Macaca fascicularis: one gene and its partners. The protein of the gene in region 2 purifies or fractionates together with the protein of the main gene of each other region. This does not show direct contact. Links are inferred from orthologs where the notes say so. Each region holds a gene or a part of one and is shown on either strand. Other genes may lie near its edges. The genes, in order: CLGN, PTPRU and GOLIM4.

Region 1 (10,186 bases), on a different chromosome or scaffold from region 2:
CACAAATATCTAAGGCAAGGGGAAATTGCTGCCAGTCTCTTGTTATATGTGCTGTGCAGTATGGATTGAAAAATTTACTTATTACATGTGAAAATTCAATTGTACCACCACAATTTGTTGAAAAGACTATTCTTTCTCTACCAACTGCATGTATACCTTTGTCCACACTGTCTTAGTCTGTTTTGTGTTGCTATAACAGAATACCTGGGACTGGGTAATTTATAAAGAAAAGAGGTTTATTTAGCTCACAGTTTGACTGGCTGGGAAGTTCAAGGACACGGCTCTGGCTTGTGGTGAGGCTTTTGTGCTTGGCCAAAAGATGGCAGAGAAGGTCAAAGGGGAAGCAGAGCATGCAAAGAGGGAAAATCCTGAGGGGCACCTAGCTTTATAACAAGCCATTCTCATGGGAATGAATCCAGTCTCGTCGGAGCAAGAACTCACTCACTACTGAAATGGCATCAAGCCACCTACGAGAACAGGACCTTCATGACCCAAACACCTCCCATTAGGCCCCACTTTCCAGCACTGCCACACTGGGGACCAAACTTCAACATGAGTTTTAGTTGGGACAAAGCAACCATATCTAGGCCATAATACATACACATGTAAGTCCATATAGAATCTATTCTGTCCCATTGATTTGTCTTGATACTAATATTCTTTGATAACTCTTTGATAACTATGACTGTATATCATTCTATAAATCCTGAAGTCGGGTGGCATTTCTGGGGGGCTTTATCTTGAGACACAAGATAAAAATTCAGCATGGGCTCATTCTGCCAACTATATAGTTTAACCAGACGAATTCTGGGAAAAACCAGGAACAAAACAACGATGACTATTGTCATTACTATTATTTACTATTGTTTGATATTTTTGTTAAAGCAATAAGGGAAAAAACCTCAGAAAATAAGTATAAATATAAGAAAGAAAAGATTATTTTCTGCCATAGACATAATTATACACCTTAAAAATAAAAATCAACCCACTGGAAATACTTGTGGAATACTTGTTTCCTTTTCTCTATTCTCTGCACCATTAAAAAGCACATTTCAAAATATATGAAACTATACAAACATTTTAAAGTATTATTTGAATTATCTAGGCTCTGAGTCCCTTCGTTGTATTTGAGTTAAAACTTCATTCTACATAGTTCTTTAATCCTGAGAATCAGAGGCATTTCCTATATTCTGCATTTTTCAAGTGGCAAGGTGTTGTGGAAAGAGTACAAGCTTTGAATCCTCACTCTACATTTTAAGGCCTGTGTGAATAAGTTATGTAACTGATTGGGGTCTATTTCCTTATAAGTAAAATAAGGATGATACCTGTGGGTCAACTGCATATAACAACTTGCACATAGTAGACCATTAATAAAACACAGCTCTGATTTTGATTACAAAACAGGCTTCCAACAGGACATCACTCTGTTCCATCAAGTAGCATGAAACTTTCTGCCTCTTTCTGTTTGTTTGTTTTGTTTGAGACAAGGTCTCACTGTGTCATCCAGGCTGGAGTGCAGTGGCACTATCTGGGCTAACTGCAATCTCTGCCTCCTGGGCTCAAGCCATTCTCACCTCAGCTTCCCAAGTAGCTAGGACTACAGGCATGCACCACCATGCCCAGCTAATTTTTGTTGTATTTTTTGTAGAGATGGGGTTTCATCATGTTGCCCAGGCTGGTCTCAGGCAGCTCAGCTCAAGGGATCTACCTGCCTCAGCCTCTCAAAGAGCTGGGATTACATGCATGAGTCACCATGCCACGTCACCTTTCCTGCTTTTTATGTTTTTCTAGATTTCTGATTACTCTGGTCCCTCCAATCTTGATTACATCGCCTTGGTCTCTTCCCAAATCTCTCTTCAACTTTGATGTGTCAGAACACTTCACAACTCTACCATTCAGCATTATCTTCTGAGACTCCTCCCCTTGTATCATTAAACACTACCTCATGCTCAAAAAGTCATACCCTGGTCTCATTTTCAGATTATTCTTTGACATTATTATCACACTGTATTATTCTGATGAAAAGTTGCCTATTAAACAAAATTATAAATATTATATTCAATCATCCTTTCAATAAGTGGCAGATAATTTTGGAAATATGTTAAGACCTTAAATTTCAAGGTAACAGATTAGATTTCATTCTGTGGGTAATGAAGGGTCATTGGAAACTATTGAATGAGCTGAGGATTCAACTATGAAGTGTAGGTGGGAGGCTCTGAAGGGGGGCAACTAGTTAGACAACTCTGAGCAACAGTTTCTAAAGGAGTGAGAATGTAAACTAGAGAAATGGTACAGCAGCTGAAGGGGGTGAGGACCTCTTTTAGATGATTTTATGGAGATAGAGTTTAATTTATGGAGGCAGTGAAAGTAGCAGCCAAAGAGTAAAAAAAAAAAAAAAAAAAAAAAAGTTCTCAAGGTTTTGAGTACTATGTGACCAAGAAGATACTACTAAATCTTACAAAAATTCACTATTCTTACATCTTTAGTTTTCAGCTTCTTCATTGCAAACTTTGAATGGATCCTTTAAAAAAATCCTTCTCTAGCAGTTCAAGTGTATTTGTTATGGGCCACAGAAGTATGTTGAATAATAGAAGTCAGGATGGAAGAAAGAAATAAAGGGTATAATATTGTTACAAAGTATCTCAAATGTCTTTTTAACCAGTAAATTTTAACACTATCCAAACACTCTCCCAGAGGTGACAAAGTCAAAAGTTTAGAAATGCTGGTCTTAATTAGTAAAGCAATGTGAAAAAAAACTCAGTGATCTTGACCCCAGCCAATAATGATACGGTGTGCATGGAATGCCACCAGTCCTTCAAGACTGAGACTCTTCAACAAGGGTGTTAGTCTCACAAGTCAATCAAACGTTGTTAATTAATCTTCTGATAAAATTAAATTGGTATTATACCAAATTCAAAGTCAAGATTTACTGTAAAATATAAGTAGTAAAAGCTGAATGATCCAATATATAAAAGGCAAAGCAGCTTGTGATTGAACACTGCGTTTATGCTGTAGTTTTATTTCAATGTGATTGAAACTGCAGGCTCTGGGAGAGACAGACCTGATTTACATCCTGTTTCCACTGTTTACGGGTTGTGTAACTTCGAGCAAGTTATCATCAGTTTCATCACCTGGGTTGCTATGAAGGTTAAACAATGAATGTAAGCCCCTTAGAGCACAATGAACACAATAAATGTTAGCAGCTCTTATTAATAGTGTTGTTGGAGAGAAAAAGAACATATTGTTTTATATACAATGTATTTATTAACATTTAACATATCTGTATTTGTCATATACACACACCAGACAGGAAAGCTCCTTATTAATCACCACGACTGCAGATCTGTTAACATCTAGAACTCTAGAGAAAGCCTAGAGCCCTAATCTTGCTGCACTTATTACTGGACGTTGTTCATAAATATGATTTACATAAAATTCAGGACCCAAGCATTGAGCAACAGGGGGTAGAACCGCACGGTCTGCAGAGAGGGCGGGCGCTCAGAGAAGGAAAACTCTTCAGACTTGCAGGAGGAATTCCTCCTCGGCTAACCCGGGAGCGGGGCTCACTCCACAACCGGCCGGCGGCGGCACAGGCTCGCTGTGCGGCTCCCCCTGGAGGCGGTTGAGCCCCTCGGAGCAGGAGCGCGCAGCACGCGCCTGGGACAGCCGCCGCCTCTCGCCCGCCGCCGCACGCGCATGCGCGGTTAGTAGTCGCTGCTGTGCGGCCGCCAGCGGGATTGGTCTGAAGAGACGCGGGGACCAAGTGGCAGCGACTCGGACATCTGGGCTGTCACTGCCGAAAACAGGCCACAAGAGAGGTGCGTGAGCAGCAGGCCGCGTTTCCGCTGTCCCGCTGCCCTTTGCGCGCGGATTGGGGTGAGGAAGCGGATCATTGCTGCTTCCCCAGGCACCCAGTTATTTTGCCGCCAGAGGGCTGAACCGGTCCGGGCCAGGTGAGGGTGGATGTTGAGTCTGGCGATGGGGCTGCAGCGAGCTAGGGTCTTGACTGGGCTCTGGCGGCCCCGTGGGTGGACGCAGGGGATCGGTCGCTCCTTTTGTGTCTCCGGCACCGCGGCGTCCACCTGCTGCGCCCGGGCTGGGGCGGACGGGTGCCGGGACAGCTAGGTTCCCTGCCCAGACGGCCTCCCCTGCTGGCTTGAGGAGCCACCGGGAGCCGAGGCCGTTATCCCAGCGGTTGCCATTGCGGCCCCGTTCCACGCTCGAGCCCCGGGGCGCTCTCCCAATGGTTGTGGAGGGGGCCCGGGGCGCGTCCGGGCGCTGCTCACTCCGCTGACTGCTCCTCACAGAAACCCAAACGAGACCAAAATAGGCTCGACTGTCGCAGTCTCCACCTCTGTGGAAGCGAAGCGAACCCACCTCAACGCGGTGGGGCCAAGGACTGTCGGCCCCTCCCTGGATACCCGCGCGGAGCCCAGTGTGCGCCGCCGGGGGGCGGGCGAAAGGGCTGGGTTGAATCCAGAGAGGCCCTAATTACTAGACTCATTATCGCCCCAGGCCTGTTTACCATCAATCAGACACTTTCGCTGATTTTATTTATAGCAGCTGCCCAAGCAACAAGGAGGAGGTGTTTGCTTGGGAGTTAAAAGCAAATGGCAACCAAAGCTCAGGACTGGGAGAGAAAAGGTAAATAATGTGGCCTCGGGAAGAAGTCTCAAATTAGAAGAGGGTTCATTAACATAGAAACTTTTTGTTGCTTAAAAGCAGGCAAAATCCCGATCTCATCTGATGATTTTGCTTGCTTTACAAATGTCGACATCACTCGAGGTAGCCCTCCTTTGGGTCATTGAGAGTTTGACCTCTTTTCAGTTTGCAGTTTGGCCTTCACGTCGTATTGCTTTGATCTTCCAGTCACATTTAGATCTCATCCTCAGAACAAGATTTTCCGTACTCTCTGTCTTAGCTAGTTGATAAGGTTAATTACTGTGTGTAAATGATGTAAATATGTTGATACATCTGTCTAGAAATTGAACAGTGTTGTAAGTTAGCTGTAGTACTAAGTACCTAATAAATATTGGTGTTTTTAAATAGAAAACTAGAATTATGAACTTTAAAGAATCTTTGGATTGTCTAGTTCATGTCACAAATGAGAAAACAGGTGCAGAGCAGTTTTAATCACTTGCCTTTTTAATAATAAAACTAGAAACTTGGTGCGGTGGTGCCATGTTCAGTGTACTTTTTATTCTATCATTCTACGTTGCATTCCTGACGCCACATGAAAACTAAAACTTTAAATAATAGGTGATTGTCAAACACCACTTCTGGGATATGCCAGTGTTGGTCCCATCCTCAGTCAGCCATTAAAACTGAGTAACAGCAGAAAGGCATCGCAGTTATAAGAAATAGCATGTACAGAAGTGTGTTAAATAGGTGTGTTGAGAATGAAAGAAGGCTGGGCGCGGTGGCTTACGCCTGTAATCCCAGCACTTTGGGAGGCCAAGGCGGCCGGATCACCTAAGGTTAGGAGTTCGAGACCAGCCTGACCAATATGGTGAAACCCCGTCTCTACTAAAAATACAAAAATTAGCCAGGCATGGTGGTGCACGCCTGTAATCCCAGCTACTCAGGAGGCTGAGACAGGAGAATCACTTGAACCCAAGAGGCAGAGGTTGTAGTGAGCTGAGATTGTGTCACTGCACTCCAGCGTGGGTGACAGAGCAAGACTTCATCTCAGGAAAAAAAAAAAAAAAAAAAAGAATCACACAAATGTGTCAGAAACATAAAGTGACCATAGTGTTGGAAAAATGGCAACTGTAGACTTGTTCAATGCAGCGTTGCCAGAAACCTTCAATTTGTGAAAAATGCAATAAATCAAAGTGCAGTTAAATGAGGTATGCCTGTATGTACACACACACACACACCCCCAATTGATTCTGCTTCTCTGATTAATAAAATGGCTCTCCTCCAAGTAATGATTCAGGGATTCTGCAACTTTCTACCTTGTAATTCTGCCATTTTCAACCATGATTTTCAAAATTACTTGCATCAAACCAGATGGGGAAAGATCATAAAGAATTATAAATCATAATTATGGGAAGTTTTTACGGGCAAGGGCTGACAGCGGCATACAGGTCTTCTATTTTACATTCTATTGGCTGGAATTCATTTCCCTGGTCACATCTAGTGCCAAGGAAATTACCCTGTTGATCAGCCAGCAATTTCTCCCACATTTTACAACAGATATTACATATCCTGTGATTGTCTTTTCTTTGTGTGCCCTACTTACCTTTGATGTGACAGTGAGCTTTACTTCAATACCAGTACATGAGCTGCACTTTATAATTTGTAATTTGGGGGTGGTAGTGGAGATCCAGTAGGGTTTTTAGGTGATATTGGTGTAATTATTTAAAGTAGACCAGACTACTTGATCTAGATTTCAAAGATTGGGAAGAATGGTATCTCATTCATGGATAAAGTTACTTGTGCTTCAATTTGTTATTGAACTAGCACAGAAGCAGTGCAGAGAACATACATGAGATCAAAGATACGTGTTGGTGCAGAAGGATGCAGTTCTTTAGTGCCTCCCTTCTTATGAAGGCACAACTGATATTTAGTGATCTCAGCAAGCCTCATGGAGTGAGGAATACATAAGAAGCTTGGAACCCTGGGCATGCTACCTTTTAATTTATAAGGAGGGAAGAGGGTGACATTAGCACTAAATGTTCTACCCTATACCATATAAACAAATTCTTGCTGTACTAAAATTGCATAACTTAGAACAACCATACAGATCAATAAAGAAATAGGTAACACCACAAGCCAACTCAATGTAATAAACATATGGACAGCACTGTACCCAACAATAGCAGAACACACATTTTTCTTAACTGCACATGGAACATTCTCCAGGATAGACCATATTAGACCACAAAACAAGTCTTAATGAATTTTAAAAGACTGAAATCATACAAAGTAAGTTTTCTGAACACAAAGGAAAGAAACTAGAAACCAATAGTAGAAGGAAAACAAGAAAAATTCACAAATATGTGGAAATTAAACAGCACACTCTTGAACAATGAGCCAAAGAAGTCTTAAGGAAAGTTAGAAAAATATCTTGAGACAAATGAAAATTGAGAACAAAAGATACCAAAACTTACGGGATACAGTGAAAGCAGTGTTAAAAGGGAAATTTATAGCTGTAAACACTTACATGAAAGACAAAAGATCTCAAGTTAACAACCTAACTTACACCTTGAGGAACTAGAAAAAGATCAAATGAAACCCAAAAGTTAGAAGAAAGAGAGAAATAATAAAGATTAGAGCAGAGGGAAACAAAATGGAAAACAGAAAAACAAGAGAGAAAACAAGTGAAATCAAGAGTTAATTCTTCGAAAAGGTCAACAACAACAACAAAAAATAACAAACCTTTAGTTGGATTAAGAAAAATGAGAGAAGACTCAAATAACTAAAATTGGTAATGAAAGGACACTACATCTGATTCTACAGAAATAAGAGGGATTATAAGAGAATACCCTGAAGGATTGTATGGCAACAAATTGGATAATCTAGATTAAATGGATACATTATTAGAAACACACACCCTATCAAATTTAATCATGAAGAAGTAGAAAATCTGAACAGACCCATAACTGGTAAGGAGATTGAATCCGTAAACAAAAACTTCCCAGCAGATAAAAGCCCAGGACCAGGTGGCTTCACTGGTGAGTTCTACCAAACATTGAAAGAAGAATTAACACCAGTTCTCCTCAAATTTTTCCAAAATATTGAAGAGGAGTAAACACTTCCAGATTCATTCTATGAAGCCAGCATAACCCTGTTATCAAAGCCAAAGTCACTACAAGAAAACTACAGAGCAATATTCCAGATGGTTATTGATGCAGAAATTCTTAACAAAATACTTGACAACAGAAGTCAGCAGCATATTAAAAGAGTTGTATACTATGACCATGTTGGACTTATTCCTAAAATTCAAGGATGATTTAACATAAGAAAATCAGTGTAATATGCCACATTAACAATGTAGAGAGGTGAGAACACATGGCCATCTTTATTCATGCAGAAGAAGTATTTCACATGATTCAACACTCTTTCATAGTAAAAAAAACGCTCAGTACACTAGGAATAGAAGAAAACCACCTCAACATAGTAAAGGCCATATATGAAAAGCCCACAGTTAACATCAGACTAAATGGTGAAAGACTGAAAGCTTTTCCTTTAAGATCTAGAATAAGACAAGGATGCCTGCTTTTTCCACTCTCCCATGCCAGAGAAATTAGGGAAGAAAAAGAAAGAAAAAAGACATTCGAATTGAAAAGGAAGAAGTAAAATTATCTCAGCAGATAACATGATCTTGTACGTAAGATATCACAAACACAATACAAAAATCTGTTAGAAATAATAAATGAAGGCCACGCATGGTGGCTCATGCCTGTAGTCCCAGCACTTTTGGAGGCCAAGGTAGGCAGATCGTTTGAGTCTAGGAGTTTAAGACCAGCCTGCGCAACATGGCAAAAACCATCTCTACATAAAAATACAGAACATTAGCTGGGCATGGTGATGCTTGCCTGTAGTCCCAGCTACTCTAGAGGCTGAAGTGAAGGATCACCTGAATCCAGGAGTGCAAGGCTGCAGTGAGCCATGATGGTGCCACTGCACTCCAGCCTGGGTAACAGAGTGAGACCCCATCTCAAAAAACAAACAAATGAATTCACTAAAGTTGCAGGGTAAAAAAATTAGCACACAAAAATTAGCTGCACTTCTGTATCCTAACAATGAAAAGGAAATTAAGAAAACAATTCCACTTATAACAACATCAAAAATAATAAAATAGGAACAAATTTAATCAAGGAAGTAAAATACTTGTACATGAAAAACTATGAAATGCTGAAAGAAATTAAGAAACAAATATTAATCAGTGGAAAGACATGTTCATTGGGATTAGAAGACTTAATAAGATAGAAACACAACCCAAAGTAATCCACAGATTCAGTGCAATCCCTATCATAATCCTAATAGCCCTTTTTGCAGGAAGAGTAAAATTCATTTAGAATCTCAAGGGACCCCAACTAGCCAGAACAATCTCGGGAAAGAAAAAGTTTGGAAATCTCGTATCTCGATGTTTCAAAACTTATTACAAAGCTATAGCAATCAAATCAGTGTGAGATTGGCATAAAGACAGACATATATATCAATGGGATACAATAAAGAGCCTAGAAATAAATTCTCACATATATGTTCAAATATTTTCTTAAAGTGCCAAGACCATTTTGTGAGAAAGAACAGTTTTCTCATGAGATAATATTGGGGAAACTAGCTATCCGCATGCAAAAGAATGAGGTTGTAACCTTACCTTAAATCACAGACAAAAATTAACTCGAATAAATTGTAAAATAAATTAGAAAGTTCTGTGCATCAAGAACACAACAGAATGAAAAACCTATGCAATGGGATAAAATATTTGCTAATCATGTATTTGATAAAGGGTCAGTATCCAGAATTTCTAAGAACTCCTACAACTCAAAACAAGAACAAAACTTGATTTTTTAAATAGGCAAAGGACTTGAATAGACATGTTTCCCTTGAAGATGTATAAATAGCCAACAAGCACATGAAAAGCTGCTCAGTATCACTAATCATCAGGGAAATGCATATCAAACCACAATGTGATGCCCCATATTAGGACCTATTAGAATGGCTACTATCAAAAAAAAAAAAAAAAAAAACCACATAATTTTGAACAAATGTCGGCAAGGATGTGTAGAAATTGGAACCCTTGTGCCTTGTTGGTGGGAATGTAAAATGGTAAAGCCACTATGGAAAACAGTATGAGGATTCAAAAAAAAATAGAATTATCATATGACCCAGCAATTCAACTTATGGGTATACACTCAAAATAATTGAAAACAAGGTCTCAGAGTTATTTGTATACCCATATTCATTGTAGGATTATTCACAACAGCTAACAGGTGGAAGCAACCCAAGTGTCCACTGACGGATGGATGTATAAACAAAATGTGGTATATACACGCAATAGAATACTGTCCAGCTTTAAAAAGGAAGGAAATTTGATACATGCTACAACATGGATGAAGCTTGAGGGTGTTATGCTAAGTAAAATAAGCCAGTCACAGAACGACCAATACTGTATGATTCCACTTATATGCAGTACCTAGAGTAGTCAAAATCATAGAGATAGATATTAGAAAGG
Region 2 (9,751 bases):
AAAGAGAGGGGGACATGGCACAGGGTGGGGCAGGGCAGCTCACCAGGGGAGCCTGGGAGCCAGATCTCTGATGAGAGAAGGCCGGGTGCCAGCTCCCCTGGCAGGACGAGGGAGCAGTGAGCAGCGTCAGGGCCTGTCACTGCCTGGGGAGCCTGGGGTCCCAGACCCTTCACTGATGGAGTTGGGAGGGACCTAGAGATTTATTTATTCAAAATATTTACTCCTCCAGGGCTCTGGGTGGAGACCACACCCTGGAAGCTCTGCTCTCCTGAACCTTGCTTTTAGGAGATGGAGTGGGATAGTCAGGAAATAAATATACAATGAAATGTCATCAACTGGAAATTTCTACAAAAACAGCCAGGCAGAGTGTTTAATGTGGATTTGGGGTGTTGGCGGGGGGCTATTTTTGATGAGGTGGTGGGGGGGGGGCTTCTCTGAGGAGGTGATAAGCAAAGACCAGAAAGAAGTGAGGGAGAGAACCATATAGACATTTGGGAAATTTGGCCTAGGCAGCCAAAATAGCAGATGCCGAAGTGCAGAGGCAGGGAGTAAGCTTGGCCAGCCTCTGCCGTGAGCTCAGCCTCATGCCCAAGCTCCCCTCACCATACCTTTGGAAACTTTTGCTGTTTAGTTCTGGGGGTCCTGGGCCCACCCTGTCAACCCAGGGCCTCCGTGTGCCGACCAACATCAGAAATGGCCCACTGGAGGCAGCCTGGTCCTGTGGGGCACAACCGCCCAACTCAGGGTGGGCAGTGCGGGAAGACAGTCTGGGGCAGAGGTTCAGCCCAGGCCAGGGGCCGGGAACAGGGCCCCGCTGAGTCCCGGTTTCCCTGGTCCCGGTTTCCCTGCAGAGCTACACACGGAGCGCGGCCTTCATCGTGACCCTGCACCCGCTGCAGAGCACCACTCCTGACTTCTGGCGACTGGTTTACGACTACGGGTGCACCTCCATCGTCATGCTCAACCAGCTGAACCAGTCCAACTCCGCCTGGGTGAGGCCTCCACTGGCCAGGCCGACGGGCCACCTGCTGCCCAGGTCCTCTGTGTATTCAGCGGCATGGTCCCCAAAGCCAAGAGTTGGGTCCCAGTTCTGCCATCTATTTATTGTGTGACGAGTCATACACCTTCTTAGAGCCTCAGTTTCCTCATCTGTAAAACAAGGGTGTTAGATGGGAGACCACTAGTTGCTCTTTTTCTTTTCTTTTTTTGAGACAAGGTCTCACTCTTTTGCCCGGGCTGGAGTGCAGTAGCGGGATCATAGCTCACTGCGTTGTACAGCCTCAACCTCCTGGGCCCAAGCCACCCTTCCACCTCAGCATGTGGAGTAGCTGGGACTACAGGCTGCATCACCACAGCTGGCTGATTTTTTTTTTTTTTTTTAAATAGAACCACAGTCTCACTATGTCGCCTGGGCTGGTCTTGAACACCTGGCCTCAAGTGATCCTCCCACCTTGGCCTCCCAAAGTACTGGGATTACAGGCATGAGCCATTGCATCTGTCCACAGTTGCTCTTTATTGGCCCCCTGCTAAGCCAGGGACTGCTTTGCACTCATGGTCTTATTTAGAATCTATAATGACCTTGGAGGGAAGGCTTCAGTGAGAAAATTAAGACCCAAAGACGTACAGTGCTTTCTCCATGGTCACATGGCTGGGGAGGGGCAGAGCTGCGCTCCCCGGCCTCGGCTGCCTCATTCCAGAGCTTCTGCTCTTTTAGTCACTCCACTAAAGCGCCCTTCACGGGGGCCTCCGAGGTAGAGTACAACTGAAGCCTCCTACTTTCTGACTGTTTGATCTAGGGTAAGTTGATGGACCTCTTTGAGTTTCACTTTCCTTCTCTGTAAAATGGGGGCCATCATAGGACCTGTTCTTAAGGGGTTACTGTGAGGACCAGGTCAGGTGTGCATAGGATGCATGGCACTGCTGTGTCTGGTGCACAGTAGGCATGTGGTACGTGTAGGCAGTAGGCAGGGACAAAGATGATGAGTGTGACAGTTGCATTTGAGATTGGCCCAGACACTGGTTCAGTGACCTCAGCCTGGGGGCAGCCCCACTGACTCCCCCATTTCCCTTTGGAGCTCCCAAGAAGTACAGATACCCAGCCTTCCAGCCCTGCCTGACCATGTGCTGTAGGTCTCTGGACCCCTTCCCACTCCGGCTTTCTGCTGGGCTCGAGGCTAGGAAGATTTGCTGTAAAATGAGTACAACAGCTTCTTAATGGCCTCCTGGAGAATATTTCATTAACTGGGCTCTTTATGCATCAGGCACTTTGTGAAAATGACCCAGGACTACAGGGTAATGGGCCTCAGCCCTGGGTGTAGCAGGAACCATCCTTGCTCGGGTAGAGGGGAGAGGCCCAGAGGGAGGCTCACACAGACATCATTCACTGGGCACTGATTTGCTCATCTGTTCAACCAACTTTGCCCAGGAACTGCTCCCTGCAGTGGGCAGGGAGGGGACAGAGGCAGAAGAGACACAGCCCCTCCCAGATCTCCTGGTCCAGGAGGAAACAGGTAGAAAAACTGATAGTGACAGCACAGAGGGAAAAGGGCTTTCAAAGAGCTGGCACAGGGACAGAGAAACCCAGGGGACCACGTATCAGCGACAGCTTCCTGGAGGAGGTAGTGTCTGACCGGAGATATGTGGGAAGGGCAGAGTTGAGTAGCTGAGGAGGTGGAGGAAGAGTGACCCGTGGAGAGGGAGCAGCCTGTGCAGAGTTCTGAATGCACCGCGTTGCCGGGACCTGAGGCAAAACGGGGAAGGTGGTGGTCTCCTGTCATGGGCTGTGGTCAGAGGGGACTGATGAGCATGGTGTCTTTTTGGAAGAGGTTGGGAGGCATTTGACAGATGGAGAAACTGGGGCCAAGAGAAAGGAAGAGCCTTTCATGGGCTTCAGGCAGAGCTAAGACTAGAAACTGAGGCTCAGGATACTTAGCCTGGAGGATGTGTGCGCGCGTGTGTGTGTGCACGTGTGTGTGTATATGTACGTGTGTGTGTATGAGGTCGGAGGGCTGTACCTCCTCTGTCCCTCCACAGTCGAGTCTGGGAGGGGGTTGTATGTAGAACCCTGACTCCATGGAGGGGTCCTGGGGCAGAAGTGGGAGTACCGGACTGTGTTGCAGCATCAGGGACACCCCACCTCTGGGAGCTGGTGCTGAAGGGCAGAGGCAGTGAGAGAGAAGGCTGGGGGAGGTTCTGGGGTGGGTGGGAGTGATCCAGGCCTATTCCTGGAAGCAGGCAGCCTCATGTAGGAGCGTGTGAACCGGTTAAGGTGTAGCTTTCTAGCTGCACAGCAGTAGGCATCAGTGCACTGTTTGTGAAGGGTTCGTCTTGGCTGATCTGAACGTGTCAGTGCAGAACGTATTGGGACAGGTGGGCCTTGCAGCCTGTGGGTGATTGGTGGTGACTGGAGGGCCGCTGAAGGTGAGTCTGGAGTGAGTGGGTGGGCCAGGGTGCGTGGGAGCTACAGGGCAAATGTGGAGCCCTGGGAGTGGGCATGGCTATGGGGTGAGCCCCGGCCAGGCTCTACTCAGCTCTCCCCTCTCCGTGCCCATGCCCAGCCCTGCCTGCAGTACTGGCCAGAGCCAGGTCGGCAGCAGTATGGCCTCATGGAGGTGGAGTTTATGTCGGGCACAGCAGATGAAGACTTAGTGGCCCGAGTCTTCCGGGTGCAGAACATCTCTCGGGTGAGTGGTCTGAGGAGCCCCAGGGAAAGACCCTGGGTGGCGGCTGGGGCAGCTTTTAATGACCCTCCGGGTCATCAGGGGCCCCTGGGACTCTGGTGCTCATGTCCCCGTGGCTGGCTGCCCCTGTCTCCAGCTGCAGGAGGGGCACCTGCTGGTGCGGCACTTCCAGTTCCTGCGCTGGTCTGCATACCGGGACACGCCTGACTCCAAGAAGGCCTTCCTGCACCTGCTGGCTGAGGTGGACAAGTGGCAGGCCGAGAGTGGGGATGGGCGCACCATTGTGCACTGCCTGTGAGTACCTGCCCTGCAGGAGGGCGGGTGGAGGGGTTGGGGAGCCAGGGGCAGAGGTCCAGTCTGAAAGGGTGCCGGCTTTGGCTGGACTGCAAAGCTGGCACCGAAACCCCTGGGCTCTCAGATGGCTGTGACCTGGATGCTGCCCAACCAGCCAAGGCTGGCCCTGGAGGAATCCAGTCAGTTTCCAGGCTATAGACTCAGCCCTGAACAATTGCCTAGTACCCTCTGTGTGATGTCTGACTTTGCCAATTTGAGAGTCCTTTGTCAGAATTTTTTACCCCATGAGATTTTGGCACACTTTTTATGCCAACAGGATACCAGCCTTTGTTCATGCATGCACACATGCGACTTTTTCCATCCATCCATCCATCCATCCATCCATCCATCCATCCATCCATCCATCCATCTGCATACCCCATTCATAAGTTCATGTATTCACTCATGTCTGGGTGCAGTCACTCCCTTGCTCCCCACTTTTTCATGCTTTCAGCACTTACCGAGCCTCTCGAGTGGCAGGCTGGGCCTACTGGAAGTTGGTGGGAAGCTGAGTCAGTCTGGGCCTGGCCCCCAGGGGTTTTGGTTCTTCTGGTGGGAAAGACCCCTGAGAAGGGGAGTGAGGGCCGCCTCAGTCTGCCATCCCCCAGGAGGCACCCCACACATGGAGTCACAGGGAAGGAGGGAGAGGCACAGAGGGGGTGGAGCTCTGTGGGAGGCTGTGGGCTTGACTTGGGGTGTGGGTACGTTTGTGCCTGTGTGCCCACGTTGCCAGGTGGTGACCGGTCTTCTCAGCGTTCCTGTTCCACCTTGCTCTCTGGGTACGCGCTTGCTGCTACCCAGCCGTTCTTTGTCACTGCGTTTGTCTCCGGGTGTTTCTCTTGGAGTGTGTCTGGCCTCCTTTCTCTCAGAATCTGCAGTCTGTTTCGCCTTGAGAACATGTTTTCTGAGATGCCCTAGCCCCTGATCCTCCTTAACCTGGTCCTGCTGGTCACCTCTGGGCCCTCTCCTCCTCTCTCTGGGTTCCCTAGCCCCACCCCTTACCTCAGGGTCCTCTGCCCCGCCCTTCTGAGTTCCCTAGTTCTGCCCCTCACCTTGGGCTCTTTGGCCCTTCTTAGTTTCCTTGCCCCGCCCCTCACCTTTGCACTCTTCGGCCCCTCCTTTCTGGGTTTCCTAGCTCTGCCTCTCATTTCCGGGCTCTTTGGCCTCTTCCTTCTGGGTTCCCTAGCTCCGCCCCTCTTCTCTAGGCTCTCTGGCCCCTCCTTTCTGTGTTCTCTAACTCCGTCCCTTACCTCTGGGCTCTCTGCCCCACCCTTCTAGATTCCCTAGCTCCGCCCCGCTCCTCTAGGCTCTCTGCCCCTCCTTCGTGGTTCCCTGACCCTTTCCTTACCTTCAGGTTCCAAGGCCCCACCCCTCACCTTTGACTCCTGAGCCCCGCCCCAAACCTTTTGCATCTCTCATTCAGAAATGGGGGAGGACGCAGTGGCACCTTCTGCGCCTGCTCTACCGTCCTGGAGATGATACGCTGCCACAACTTGGTGGACGTTTTCTTTGCTGCCAAAACCCTCCGGAACTACAAACCCAACATGGTGGAGACCATGGTGAGGGGCTGTGTCCCGTGCCCAGCCACTTCTACCTTCCTGGTCCATGCCAGGCTGGGTTCCTTAGCAACCACTCTCCCATATCTGGGCCCCACCATTGGGCCTTGGTTCTAGCCCTGTGGTCCTAAAACATTACCCCCATTTCCCCCTTCTCCCCGAGGGCGGGCCTGGGCTCATGCTTGCCCTCTCGCTCCCCGTTCCCACCCCCGCCACAATACTGGAGTCGGGGTCAGGCTCATGATTTCCTCCCTCTCTTTCTCTCCCCAGGATCAGTACCACTTTTGCTACGATGTGGCCCTGGAATACTTGGAGGGGCTGGAGTCAAGATAGCGGGGCCCTGGCCTGGGGCACCCACTGCACACTCAGGGCCAGACCCACCATCCTGGACTGGCGAGGAAGATCAGTGCCTCCTGCTCTGCCCAAACACACCCCCGTGGGGCAAGCATTGGAGTGGATGCTGGGCCATCTTGCTGTCCCTTCCACTGTGGGCAGGGTCTTTCACTTTGTCCTATGGGCAGGTCGTTGGCCAAGGAGGAGCTTAGCAAGTCTGCAGCCCAGCCCCACCTCCATAGGGTCCTGCAGGCCTGTGCTGAGAGGCCTGGCACTGCCTGGCAGAGTGACAAGGGCTCAGGACGGCCGGCTCTGGGGTACTCAAGCCAAGCCCCTTGGCACCGTCCTGGCCTTTGGCAGGGTTGAGTGAGGCCCTGCAGAGAGTATCCCAGGCCAAGATTCCCACTCAGCCTGCTCCCTCTGCAGTGGGTAGAGGGTGTACTGGGGCTTGGCATCTAGGATTCCATCTGGCACAGCCTCTGAGGGTCCTGGGGAGGCAGGACTCTGTTCTGAACAGCCAGTGGGGCACACTGACTGTCCTCCCCAGGGGAACTGCAGTGCCCTCCTCCCCACTGCTCCCTGCAGCCCCTGGGATATTTTGCTCACTCTCCCTCCCCACTTCTGCTTCCCTGATATGTGCTCTGAGCTTCCCTGAACCAGGATCTGCCGATTCCTGCTGTGCCCCACGGTGGGCTCCTTCCCTGCGTGACCCACTGTTGCAGAATGAAGTCACCTCGCCCCCCTCTTCCTTTAATCTTCAGACCTCACTGGCCTGTCCTGCTCAGCTTGGGCCAGTGACAATCTGCAAGGCTGAACAACAGCCCCTGGGGTTGAGGCCCCTGTGGCTCCTGGTCAGGCTGCCCATTGTGGGGAGGGGCAGTGCTAGAGCAGGGCTGGTCATACCCTCTGGAGTTCAGAGGAAGGAGGACCAGTGCTTTTTTGTTTCTTTTGTTATTTTTGGATGGGTGGTTGGGAAGGTCTCTTTAACATGGGGCAGGCCACACCCCCATTCTGTGCCTCAATTTCCCCATCTGTAAACTGTAGATATGACTACTGACCTACCTCGCAGGGGGCTGTGGGGAGGCATAAGCTGATGTTTGTAAAGCGCTTTGTAAATAAACGTGCTCTCTGAATGCCACAGAGCAGCCCTGTGTGTGTCTCACCAGCCTGATAGGGCCTGCTCACCTGCCCCCAGCCTCCAGTGCAGTGGGAGGGCCCTGGAGAAGCCTGGGTTCTGATCCAGTCCTGGTTTTTCTATTTGTAAAATGGTGGGAGTGTGGACCAGGACATCACTCAGGGTCCTTCCACTTTCAGAGTTGGTTCCAAGGGACCCTGGCCATTGTTGCCCCCACCCAGGCCTCTGAAGCAGTTCCTCAGGTAGGGTATATCAACCTGAGACCCCTGAGGGCCACAGAGCTGCCTCTCACCCCACTGGGGGCCCTGGATCAGGTTGAGCTCTTTCTGGGGCAGCATGGGAGGCTCAGGCTGTGGTGTCAGGCAGATGGGCCCAGCAGCTGCGAGACCCTGGGTGAGTTAGTGCCCTCTCTGGGGCCTACTTTATCATCTGTAAAGTGGGGACAGTCCTGTTTGGATCAGATGAGGTAATGATTAAGTGCCTTATGCAGTGCCAGGCGCATTGAAAGGGCTCACTTTACAAACATGGCAGAGATGGGGGCAGAGGAGACACAGCCCTGCGGAGGATGACCGTCCCGTTGCCCCAGCCCAGGCCATTCCCAGCTCCAGCTGCCTCATGGGGTAGAGAGGGAAGAGGAGCGGGCTGGCTGGTAGGGACCTGGGTCACTCCTGGCTCTGTCACAGACTTGCTGCCTGACCTTGGACAAGAGAATTCCTGTTTCTGGGCCTCAGTTTCTTCATATGAAGGCTGACTCATTCTATTTGCACACTGGCTGACCCTGTGTGCCTCAGTTTCTCCACTGGTCAGAGGATACAACCCATTCTAATGACCTCACAATTCAGCATACTTTAATCTGAGTTAAAAATTAATTGGCCAGTTAGGATCACACTTGACTGGGGCACAGACTGACCCCTCATCCTCATTCTGAGCTGACCTCTGAGCCTTACGTGATGGATCACAAATGTGTGTCATGGGTACTGGCCCAGTGATAGAAAATGACTTGCTCTGCCCAGTAGCATGGGCAGAAGTGACGGCACGTGAGTTCTGGATCCTGGGTCTCATGAGGCCTTGCGGTTTTTGCTTTCGCTCTTCTGGAACTCTGCTATACAAGGGAACCTGTCTCACCTACCGGATGATTTGAGGGCACACAGAGGAGAACCAGCGCATGCCATGAACAGTCAGTATCAACTCCCAGGCTGTGAGTGAGGCTGTCTTGGACCTTCTAGTCTAGCTGACCTGTCAGGTAAGTGTAGCCCCATGGCTAAGCTTAGAAGACACTGCCCAGTGAGCCCCTAGAACTGGGAGAGACGCTAAATGGTTCTTTCTCTGAAGACGGTCTGTTGGAATCCCTTGTTACATACACAGTTAGCTTTCGCTGATACACGCGTGTGGAGCAGTCTGGATGCGGCTCGGCCCTTTGCTCTGTTCGGTGCTGGCTCCTCAAGGGCAGGGAGTGTTTCTGTGCCATCTTGTGTCCATTGCCCAGTAAGGGGCTTGTCTTGGAGCTAGTGCCCTGGAAATGTTGGCACGAAGGATGGAAGGAAGGAGAGGTTGGACTTGCCTGCCCGACTGACCAGGGGCATCTGGCCTCTCAGAGGAGCTGGGGAGGTGGGCTGTGTATTAGGAGGAGCACCAGCTCCAGAACCCGCAGGACAAGTCCCGCCCCCAGCTCCACACCCCACAGTCGGGTGACCTTGCACAATCCCCTAACAACCCTGCAATAAACACAACAGGACCTATCTGCAGGATTGGTTGTGAGGTCTAGGGACAAAATATTTAAAAAGAGCCAGCGTAGTCCTTAGTGACATAATTGACCCTCAATAAAAGGCATCTCATACCATAATACTGAAGCCCCTGGATAATGAAAATGGTGACGGTCACCTTTCATTTTGTGCCTATTCCTGTGTTGTGTGCCCTACAGCCTTTATCTCTCCCTCACTCCATACAGCAGCTCTTTAAAGTGGGGATTCCTACCCCTTCAGTTTAGAGATGAGACACGGAGGCTCAGGGAAGTGAGTTTACTCACCCAAGGTCACCTGGCCAACATATGGCAGAGCAGGGACTTGAACCCGTGTTTAGGCTGACTCCACACCTGGGCCTTTATCTGCTCCGCTCTGTGGCTTCCCTGGGGTCAACAGCCCAAGGATCCCCTCAGTGCAATGTCAGATGGGGAATTTGTGGCCTAAGCACTGCTTCCCAAATGCTGTGAAATGTGTCAGAGGTGGTGGCCTCTTGGACAAGGTGGCCTGGAGCACAGGAAGATGAACGGTCCAGCCGGGTTCTGTCCAGGGCTCTGGCTGAGCAGGTGTGGGTAGAAACCTCCACCCATCCAGGCCCCAGCAAATAAGATTTCTACAAGTGCAGATAGGCCGGCTGCCTGTTACTGCCAGAAGCTAAGTTGTTCTTTATGCCATAATAAATCTTGCTGTAGGAGTCAGCGAAAGCAATGATTACTTCTATGACCTCTCTGCTGGTCCCTGATTGGGACGCATTATATATTCCAGGCACCCAGGAGATGGAGCTGTGTCACTGATGGATGCCAAGGCCATTTGCAAGGCCCTCATTGGGAGTGGGGCCTGGCCACTCTCTCTCCCTGGGCTCCAGGGACCTCCCCCTGCTGACTTCTGATGGACAGGAGTTTAATGAGCTTTGGCCTCAACACCCCCATGGCTTTAAGGGCAGTGCAGAAATAATGGAGTCATTGCATAGTCAGG
Region 3 (9,898 bases), on a different chromosome or scaffold from region 2:
TTAAATTTTGTTTAATATTCATCACCTTTTCTTAGGTGGTGATTTCTCCTACAAATTACAAAATATTGAGTTCCACCTATAGTAAAGAAATTTAAATAAAAGATTTAGGCAATAGAAATTATTTACTCTAGGATCCTAAATATTATTAATTTAAAATCTTACTTTTAGAAATTATACGTCAGCTGTCTCTCTCAACTTTATATTTTTTCCTTTCCTTATTTTGAAAATGAACAAATTTGATTAAAATGACAAATTCTCTTAAGTTAGAGAGAATTAATATTCTCAAATGTTATCTTTGCCCTTCTCAAATGTAAGACTTGGAGTATCTTTCAGTTAATTTCTTCCTGACTTAGAAATAAAATACTAAATCAGCAAAATTCTTCAGGGTTTACAATTTAAAATTTAATATATTGTTAAATATATGGAATATAGAAATATAATTATATATACTATTTTTAAAATAACAAAGAAGCAAAAATAGAATAAACAACACACCTTCCAAGACCAGTATAAACAGCTCATATGTTACAATTGCTACCCAAAGGCAATGTTATGTATATTCAATTTATAGGCCTTGGATAGCTTCCTCATGTTGGCTGTTCAAAAGTTCTATACTGATATTTTCAGAAAACTAGCAGTATACTTTACCTTGGAAATGTAATATTATAAAAATACCACCATTAGTGATTTTATGTACTTCTACATACCCTTCTCGAATTTGAAATAATGGATAAGTTCAGGTAATACTTTTTGCTCTTTCAAATTTTATGACTAAAATATTGAGTTGTGTTTTATGGCCTGCATTTATTATGTTCTGTAGAGTCAGCCAGCAGCTGACTCTACAGGCAAAGAATAGGCAAAGAATATCATTGGCAAAGAATATCGTTGGAGTCTGGAATCACATGCAAAGGTATCAGAAGTTTAAGATGAATCATACATTCAGGAAACATAAGAATTTTCCAAAGATTCTAAAATACATATTGTGTAATATATGAGCAATGATTTTCCAACAACTTCTTTTTCTTTTGTGGCTAGGATAATTTTCTTTTCAAATATGGGGCAAGATTGTTGCCATAAACTTTATTTATTTATATATTTATTTATTTTGAGACAGAGTCTCACCTCTGTCACCCCGGCTGGAGTGCAGTGATGTGATCTTGGCTCACTGCAACCTGTACCTCCCAGGCTCAAGGGATACTCCCAACTCAGTTTCTGGAGTAGCTGGGACTATAGGTGAACTTCACCATGCCCAGCTACATTTTTATGTATATATATATTTTTTGTAGAGGCGGGGTTTTGCTGTGTTGCCCCGGCTGGTCTCGAACTCTCAAACTTAAGCCATCTGTTCTCCTTAACCTCCCAAAAGTGCTGGAATTATGAGTGAGCCACCATGCCCGGTCTAAATTTGGATAGTGTTTTTGGAGGAAGAGTTTGTTTAACAAAGTACTCTGACAACAGTAAGGAATGTTTAGTTATGAGGAATTTTAAAGGGATTCCAGTAATTATCCAATCTTAATTTCTGAGAGTCAAACTAGAAAAGAGGAATTTAAAGTGGTAGATTTAATAATAAGCAAGATTATGTAGTATTTACACAACAAAACTCCCAAACTCCTTTAGATTGTTTTCTTTTACAATCAGATTCTCATGTTAATGGAGATACAGTTTCTGACTGTAACGTGTATAATAGAATGAGAACATTGTTTCTATTGAAGAAAAAGACAGAGAGCAGGATTTGGATCTGGATTCTAATCTTGCTGAGTAACTAACTTTATGCAAGACCTAAAAGGTCCTAGAGCTATCATAGTCACTTTGATAAACTTTGGCTTCTTTACCAACATGAAAGTCTGACACCCTGGCGGTGATCAGTGAGTCAGTGTATCTGTACACGAAAGTATTTTGAATAATATAATGCAAGTTATTATTTATTAAGGAAAAGCACATGCAAGACACACTTTATTTTTACAGTGGTATAAATGCCACAGACTAGCATCATTATAAATTCAGTTTATTTTATGGCTTTAGCAACCTATAATTTCAGAGTCCACCTAAAAAAACTTTTGCACCAGGAACTGTCTTTCTGTTGAATTTAGCTAAAGAGATTTACCCCCATTTTGAGCACTCACGCCCATTAGCAATGGTAACGACCAAAGTCCAGTTAGAATATAAAAATTATGCAGTGTATCATACATTACACCACACTATTGAGACAGATAAAATTTACTTTTCTTAGAATTCAGATCAACAGCAGAAACAAACATTATCATTTCTGCATAACCTTAATTTTTCCCCTCAGGTACACAGAAAAAATAAATGCAGTATACATTTCTTCGAAGAGGTTTTTGGTTATTACCTTTCCTGTGCTGTACTAGTTTTTACATAGGGAACCTTTGTTGCCCTTTAAAATGTAATTTAGAAATGTAACTGATGTGTTTTGCCACCAATAAAACAAATATATATGACAAAATGAATGGATACTCATTTCAGTCTGTACGATTTGTTTTTAAATTATTCTATTTGCAGCTAGAGGAGAAATGTGAGATCATTTCTTTCCTTTCTGCCAATGGCAAGCTGATTTCCCCAGACCACGTGGACAACTGAACATTAAGTCTAGCGTGCTTCAAGTCTCCCGACTCCTGCCGGGCCATCTGTGGGCACACACACATCTAGGCTAATACACTGGATGGGGTAAGGCAGTCGACACAGCATCTCTGGTTTGACTACCGGGATTGTGCTATGTAGCTATCCCATGTGTCTGCCGCATCTGTTTATTGGACAGGGAAAGAAACTGTATTCAGCAGAGTGCACACAGTTACTGCCATCCATTCTTTCGTTCATACATACATTTTACTACGCTCTCCACGTGCGTTCCGAGAACTGGATCACAAACACACATACTCAAATACACACACACACACACACACACGTGTTCACCGAACCTCACCCAGACTCAGGCCCGGACAAGTACCCCGCCCACCCAAAGCTCCCCGCCCTTCCGCCTGCCTCTTCCCACCCTCTCCGACTCCACGTGGGCGCACCCCGGCGCCAGGCGGCAGCGCTGCCCAAAGAGCCCCTCTCCTGCCCCGGCACTGGGAGGGAAGGCGCGGCCCTGGGGTCGGACGGACAAAGCGGGCGTCCAATCGAGCCCGGCACTGCCTTCCCGAAGGGAGGGAGCGGCAGCTCGGACGGGCCCAATGAGCAAGGAGCCCGAGTGGGACTTCCTCCCGGAATCCCGTTGGCCAGAATAGCGGGGCCGTGGGTGACACGTAAGTTGGGCGGGAGGTGGCGGCGCGGCAGAGGCTCCAGCCGACCCGTCAGTGACACCGCTCTGCCGTCCCCAAAACCAGCCGAGGCAGCTGGCCCCCACCCTTCCACCCATTGGGCAGGCCGCGCCGGGGCGCGGCCCGGAGTCATGGTCCCTTTGTTGGGCGCGCACCCCCTCCCTTAGGTGGCAACAAAGTCGTGCAGTGGAAGCCGCCGCGAGGGGGCGGGGAGCTGCCAGGGCGGGACTCCAAGAGCTGCCCGGGGGCAGCGGGGCCAAAAAGTGGGAAGGAGGAAAAACGGCAGGAGGCATCTGGGGACAGGCGCGAAGGCAGCCGGCTCTGAAGTATGCGGAGGGCCCCCTCCCGGCCCCGGGCATTCGCGGAGAACGAGCGTCGCAGAAGTTTGGCTGCAGCTGCCCGGGCGGCGTCGATGGCTGCGCGCCCCGCGACGCGCGGGGGCTGAGCGGGCGCCACTTCCCCTACGGGCCGGCTTTTGTGTCTGGCATCTCCTCCTCATGCTGCGTCTGGCCACCTCCTGCGGCGGCCGCTGCTGAGACGCTCGCTCGGACCAAGGGGAGGAGACGGCGGGGGCGGCCGCGGCGTTGGGTCCAGGCGGGACTATGGGAAACGGGATGTGCTCCCGAAAGCAGAAGCGGATTTTCCAGACGCTGCTACTGCTGACCGTGGTGTTCGGCTTTCTCTACGGCGCGATGCTCTACTACGAGCTGCAGACGCAGCTGCGGAAAGCCGAGGCGGTGGCGCTAAAGTACCAGCAGCACCAGGAGTCCCTCTCCGCCCAGTTACAAGGTACGGCTAACGGGACGCGCGCAGTCGGTGGCCAACTTTGCTCCGCGCCTCCACCCGGGCAGGAAAAGTGGCTTTGGGGAGCTCTTGGCACTGTGGTTGCCACCTCTGACCTTCACGGACGTCAGAGAAGAGCTTTTCAGGACTGCCGGCCCCAGAGTGTCAGGGGAGATGACATTCTCACCCTCCCGCTTCTTCCTCCCAGCGGTTAGGTTTGAACTTGGTAGCACCAGCCCATCGTCCCGCTGGGCGTTTGGTGGGCGGGTGCAGAGAGTCCTTTACCCGAGGGCTTGTCAAAGGCCCAGCGAAACTAGGAGCCCTCCGCCGCTTCTGCCAGCCCTGCTCTAAGGAGCGTTGTTCCGTCGATTCTAGGTATTTGCTTGCTTGTTGACTTTGTCAGTTGCTTAAAACATGGAGAGTTTGGCAGAGATTTCTCACACTGTTTTGTTTTTCAAGGGAAAATTAAGTCATGATCCAGCAGCTTAATTAAAGTCATGGCCCAGTCGAATGGAACCTAGATCTGGACCCGCTAGTTTCTTATTTCTTATTCTTTTAATTTAATAGGATGTTTTCAGAGATGCTGGATGTGTGGGAAAAGTCCACACTATATACCATTCACCATCCTGCAGTAGTTTCTTTCAAAAAAGATTTGCTTGTCTTCCTCAGTAGCTTTTACTTTATCACAGAGCTGCATGTATGTATTTTACAGTAAGCTCGGGAAGTCAGAGGAGAAACAGGTTTTCACTTTGCCATGCACAGCAAACCCAACTTGAGCAAGACCTGTAGAAGAACTTAAAGTTTGTGTCCTTCTATTTTAGAATCTGATTGAATGTAATTTTCACAAACATAATTTATTTTTAATGTAAATTCAGAAACATTACCTCAAAGTCGGCACCATGTCGTCTTGTTAAGGATGTATCCTATACATATTTTTTTTTTGCAAGCTTTTACTTGTGGTTAGTTTTCAATACTTATGCAACTTTCTCCCCAACCAAAAAATAATGAATAGCTGTAAGTAGTGAAATGTTGGCAGCCTTTGCTGATGATGCAAATATAGCTTATTTAATATTGCTAGGTAGATAGATGCAAGCTAGAGGAATGTTTCTGTGTATGTGTGTGCAGATATAAAACGGATGCTTCTTCCTTGCTTCAGTTATTCTAAGTGTTTTCTAGTAAAAAATTTAAGATGAGAGAAAATGATACGCATCTGATTGCTTGAACTTACTTGCTCTTCCCAGCTTAGAAGAAAGAAAAGTATTTTTAGCTTACTGAGGCTGCATAGCCACAGGCAATGAAAATACATGGCTGGGCTTGGTTCAAAAGTAAAACCCGTTTTGATACACTCTTAGGTTCAAAAACATTTCTTTAAACTCATTGAAATTTACCCATGAGTTATTGTTGGTATGAGAATATGGATATTTGTTTACTTATTTATTTAGAAGATATCAGTAGCTTCCCTGTGAAGTTCCATGATGTTAGACCAAGGGAAAAATTTGCTGTCTAATAGTACAACAGTACTGGATTTTCGTAAACATGGCTGGAAGGGCCATGTATGGTGGATTATATGAGGTTGTGTGTGCCTTGGTCTCTTAGGAGTCCCAAGAGGGCAAAGGCTGTCATTTTCACCATTACCTCCCCAGCACCACACTGTGCCTGACACTCATTAGGGGAATCAATGCGTGTTTATTCAAACAACAAACAAAAATTATTTGAAACTGTGGTGAGTAAGTTCATCCCAGGCACTTTTGTCTTTCTGAGACTTTGCTTCTGTGTCTTTGCTTTTTGAAAGCCAAATAAAACAACAAGAAAATATTTTGTTCAAGTAGCTCCTTTGCCTCAACGGCCTATGATGGACATTGTTGACTAAGGCCCTGATTTCTGAATAATGGCCTTTATTTGCAGTATTTCATTTTGAAATTTTAGAAATTTCTGTTCTAATTTGCCCTTTCTTTTTTTGGTGGTGGTGGTGGTAGAGGGGAAAAGAGGTGGTAAATGATAATACAGGATCATTAAAATGTACAACTTTTGTTTTGCAGCAGATGGAAATGTTCTACCTAATTTGAATAAATGGCTTCAAAGTTCATTTCTTAATTTATTTTTTTGTCATTTCCTCTTTAATTATGGTGCTGCAAAACTTGCAGTATGATTATGCATTAAGAATTTTTTCACAAGCAGGCTACAGTTTTTTTGTTTGTTTTTGTTTTTTGTGGATTCACTTTTGACTTCTGTAGCATTTATTTTGGATTTCGCATGTGTAGGCCATTCAATGAACATTTTCTGATGGTATGCAACTTTTGCTTCCCTTTTCCAAGACAAATGACATTTTACTCAACAGCACCGTGTGCCACCTGCATAGATGGGCTTTTAGGACATCAGGCTCTCCAGTCTTAATACTTGTTTAGTTAGGTGGGATTGCATGACCTGCCTTGGATTCAGATCAGAATTAATTACTTTACAAAGAGTGGTCTTTTTAGAAATGACTCAAAATTTCAGTAGTTTGGTCCTATAACCTGGTGATGTGCATTTGTTAAGTGAGCATATTTAGGTCACCTTCAATTTAAGAATACATTATACTTCATAGATTCCTTTGAAAGTGTGTTACTTGTAACCCCAAGTTACAAGTTTTATTATAGAAGAGCCCCATAAATAGAAGATGGCGGGGATGGCATGCAGAAAGGTCAAACACTAGGCAAATCCCTTCCACTATAAAAATATCTATATCTGCCTGTTTATCTCTCCCTCTTAGCAATCAGCCATCTATTTATCTCCCATACGGGTACCTTAATTATACTGAGGAGTAGGGCAGAGGTCACATACTGGTGGCAAAGGTAATAACAATCTTTGGACAGCACAGTGTTTATATAACCTTTAATTTTTTTAAACTGCTTTCAAGTGAGCCATGCTCCACTGTCTGTATCTATAAGCAGTGTTTCTCAGTCTAGACTGCCCATTAGTATCACCTGGTGGCTCCCAGACCAATTAAATAACAGTCTATGGGGGGTGGAACCCAGGCTTCAATAGTCTTTAAAGCTCCCCTGGTGATTCCTGTGTGCAGCCAAGGTTGAGAGCCACACCTCTATAATCTTAAAACTGAGCCACTCCGTGCATTTACTTTACTTGTTTGACCCCAGAGACACTTGAATTTTTTTATCTGAGCATGTGATTTAAAGCAGATTGGCTTCTAGACTGTAATTCAAATTCTACTTCTAAAACCTTTTGTGTGAACCTCCACGTTTTTCTTATTTATAAAATGGAGATTAGAATAACCTATTTTATAGAGGTATTGTGAGGATTAATGAAGGTGATAGACTGTAGAGCTCTTAGAATGTACTTGGCATATAGTAGGTACTGCTCATTAAAAGTTAACTGTTATCAGAATCCCTTTTGAGGTAAGCTGTTTTATCCCTTCTTCTCTTGCCAGGTTTGTCATGAGTAAAAATTTTGAAATTGGCCGAATTTGTTTATGTAGCTAACCACCTTCTTTTATTGTACCTTAAATGAACATCCAGGAATATGCAGACATCCAGTGTACCTTACTCAGAAGAAAGGACCTTCCTTGACAATTTAAACTTGGACTAGGGTTACTGATTAACTGTGTTCTGGATCTTATCAGATTAGGAGAGGGTGTGACTGCTAAGGTAATAATTATGTGCTGTAAGATCTGGGAGAGAGATATAACTATTTAAATTTTTACAAAAGGCTTTTAGCATAGAGGCAAAGAGCCCGACATTCCTAAAACACAGTATTGCAATGCTTTTGGACTTACAGGGATAAGGAGAAACCATGAAGAAAAAGTTTTTGTAAGGTTTATATGTTCCTATTCCAGATGAATATGTTACAACTATTTAAAATTTAAAAAAAGGTCACAAATGTGGACCCGTAGAAGTGCAGAGTTACAAGTGTGGATTTCTTACATGCATATATTGAGTTGTGGTGAAGTCTGGGCTTTCAGCGCACCCAAAGAATGAACATGTTTACCCCACAGGAAAATTTCCAACTCTCACCCCCCTGCTAGCCTCCCACCTTTTGTAGTCTCCAGTTCCACTCTCTATGTCCATGTATGCTCATTGTATAGCTCCTACTTGTAAATGAAAACATGCTGTCTTTGACTTTTCTTTTTCTGAGTTATTTCCTTTAAGATAATGGCCTCCAGGTCCATCCATGTTGCTACAAAAGATATGACTTATTCCTTGTTACGGCTGAGTAGTATTCCATGGTGTATATATACCACATTTTCTTTACCAGTTCTCTGTTGATGGACGCTTAGGTTGATGCCATATCTTTGCTATTGTGAATAGTGCTGCAATAAACATACAAGTGCAGGTATCTTTTTTGTATAATTATTTATATCCCTTTGGGTATATACCTAGTATTGGGATTGCTGGACTGAATGGTAGCTCTATTTTTAGTTCTTTGAGAAATCCTGATACTGTTTTCCAGAAAGGTTGTACTAATTTACATTCCCACCAACAGTGTATAAGCATTCCCGTTTCTTTGCATCTTTGCCAACATTTGTTGTTTTTTGACTTTTTAATAAAAGCCATTCTGACTAGTGTAAGATGCTATCTCATTGTGATTTTAATTTGCGTTTCTCTCATACTTAGTGATGTTGAGCATTTTTTTCTGTTTGTTGTCTTCTTGTCTAGCTTCCTATTAAAAATGTCTTTTCATGTCCTCTGCCCAGTTTTTAATTTTATTTTTCTTGTCAAGCTGCTTGTGTTCCTTGTAGATTCTCGATATTAGCCCTTTGTCAGATGGATACTTTGCAGATATTTTTTCCTATTTTGTAGGCTGTCTGTTTACTCTGTCGTTTCTTTTGGTGTGCAAACATTTGTTATTTAAGTTAGTGTTTTTTGCGTTGGGCTCCTCTAACACTTAGGATGGCCCACTGGCCTAAGCATGAATACATCTTGTCATTGGTTATTTCTTTGCTTTCAACCTTCCCTAAATCTACTTTTAAAAAGGAAATGTTGGCCAGGCACCCTGGCTCTTGCCTGTAATCCCAGCACTTTGGGAGGCTGAGGCGGGTGGATCACTTGAGGTCAGGAGTTTGAGACCAGCCTGGCCAACATGGCTAAACCTCATCTCTACTAAAAATACAAAAATTAGCCAGGTGTGGTGGCACATGCTTATAATCCCAGCTACTCAGGAGGCTGAGGCATGAAAATTGCTTGAACCTGGGAGACAGAGGTTGCAGTGAGCCCAGTCACACCACTGCACTCCAGCCTGAGCAGCAGAGCAAGACTCTTTCAAAAAAAAAAAAAAAAAAGAGAGAGAGAGAGAGAGAAACATCTCCTTCAGTACAGAACCAGGCTTTTTTTTTTATTCCTTCATCTCCAGCATCTGGTGCCTGGCGTATAGTAGGTGCTCAATAAATAGTTTATACCTATGTAGTACTTATTCTTGGCCTATTAATGTGCATATATATGGTGATATTGTGGGCAGTGAGATGTAGTGGATGCAGGCTGAGGCGTCAGAGCACTTGAATTTGATTTCCTGCTGTCTTATTTTACTAGTTGTGTGGTCATGGGCAAGTTATTTAACCTTTCGGTGACTCAGTCTCTTCATACGTAATAATCAGGATAATAGTACTTACAAAAGGTTATCATGAGGATCAATAGTGTTAGCTGATGTGCAATGCTTAGAAGGGTGTAGCTTGCATTTTGGATGATTGAGGAAGCATATATACAACAGAGTGGTTCATAGACCTCAGCAATTTAGACCACAAGTGTGGGCAGTGTGTGGTAGGTGTACTAATTTTCAAGTGCAACGTTAGAACTTATGAACTAGACATTGTCTATTAAATGGACATCTTCACTGAAGTGCAACTTAGA

Evidence for each region.
Region 1: the proteins of PTPRU (region 2) and CLGN purify together in Homo sapiens (affinity purification with mass spectrometry; 3 studies listed by BioGRID and IntAct, with this or other methods). This does not show direct contact. The link is inferred for Macaca fascicularis from reciprocal best matches to the Homo sapiens genes PTPRU and CLGN.
Region 3: the proteins of PTPRU (region 2) and GOLIM4 purify together in Homo sapiens (affinity purification with mass spectrometry; 3 studies listed by BioGRID and IntAct, counting the BioPlex papers as one, with this or other methods). This does not show direct contact. The link is inferred for Macaca fascicularis from reciprocal best matches to the Homo sapiens genes PTPRU and GOLIM4.

Annotation. Positions count from the first base shown.
Region 1 is NC_088379.1:145,564,257-145,574,442, reverse strand, and holds the start of CLGN (calmegin), read left to right. Parts: upstream 1-3,739; 5' UTR 3,740-3,953; intron 3,954-4,560; exon of another isoform or gene 4,561-4,644; intron 4,645-10,186. UniProt on the Homo sapiens protein: Functions during spermatogenesis as a chaperone for a range of client proteins that are important for sperm adhesion onto the egg zona pellucida and for subsequent penetration of the zona pellucida.
Region 2 is NC_088375.1:205,695,925-205,705,675, reverse strand, and holds the end of PTPRU (receptor-type tyrosine-protein phosphatase U), read left to right. Parts: intron 1-851; coding exon 852-992; intron 993-3,557; coding exon 3,558-3,683; intron 3,684-3,816; coding exon 3,817-3,974; intron 3,975-5,436; coding exon 5,437-5,572; intron 5,573-5,839; coding exon 5,840-5,902; 3' UTR 5,903-7,040; downstream 7,041-9,751.
Region 3 is NC_088376.1:79,488,215-79,498,112, reverse strand, and holds the start of GOLIM4 (Golgi integral membrane protein 4), read left to right. Parts: upstream 1-3,241; 5' UTR 3,242-3,880; coding exon 3,881-4,067; intron 4,068-4,335; exon of another isoform or gene 4,336-4,436; intron 4,437-9,898. UniProt on the Homo sapiens protein: Plays a role in endosome to Golgi protein trafficking; mediates protein transport along the late endosome-bypass pathway from the early endosome to the Golgi.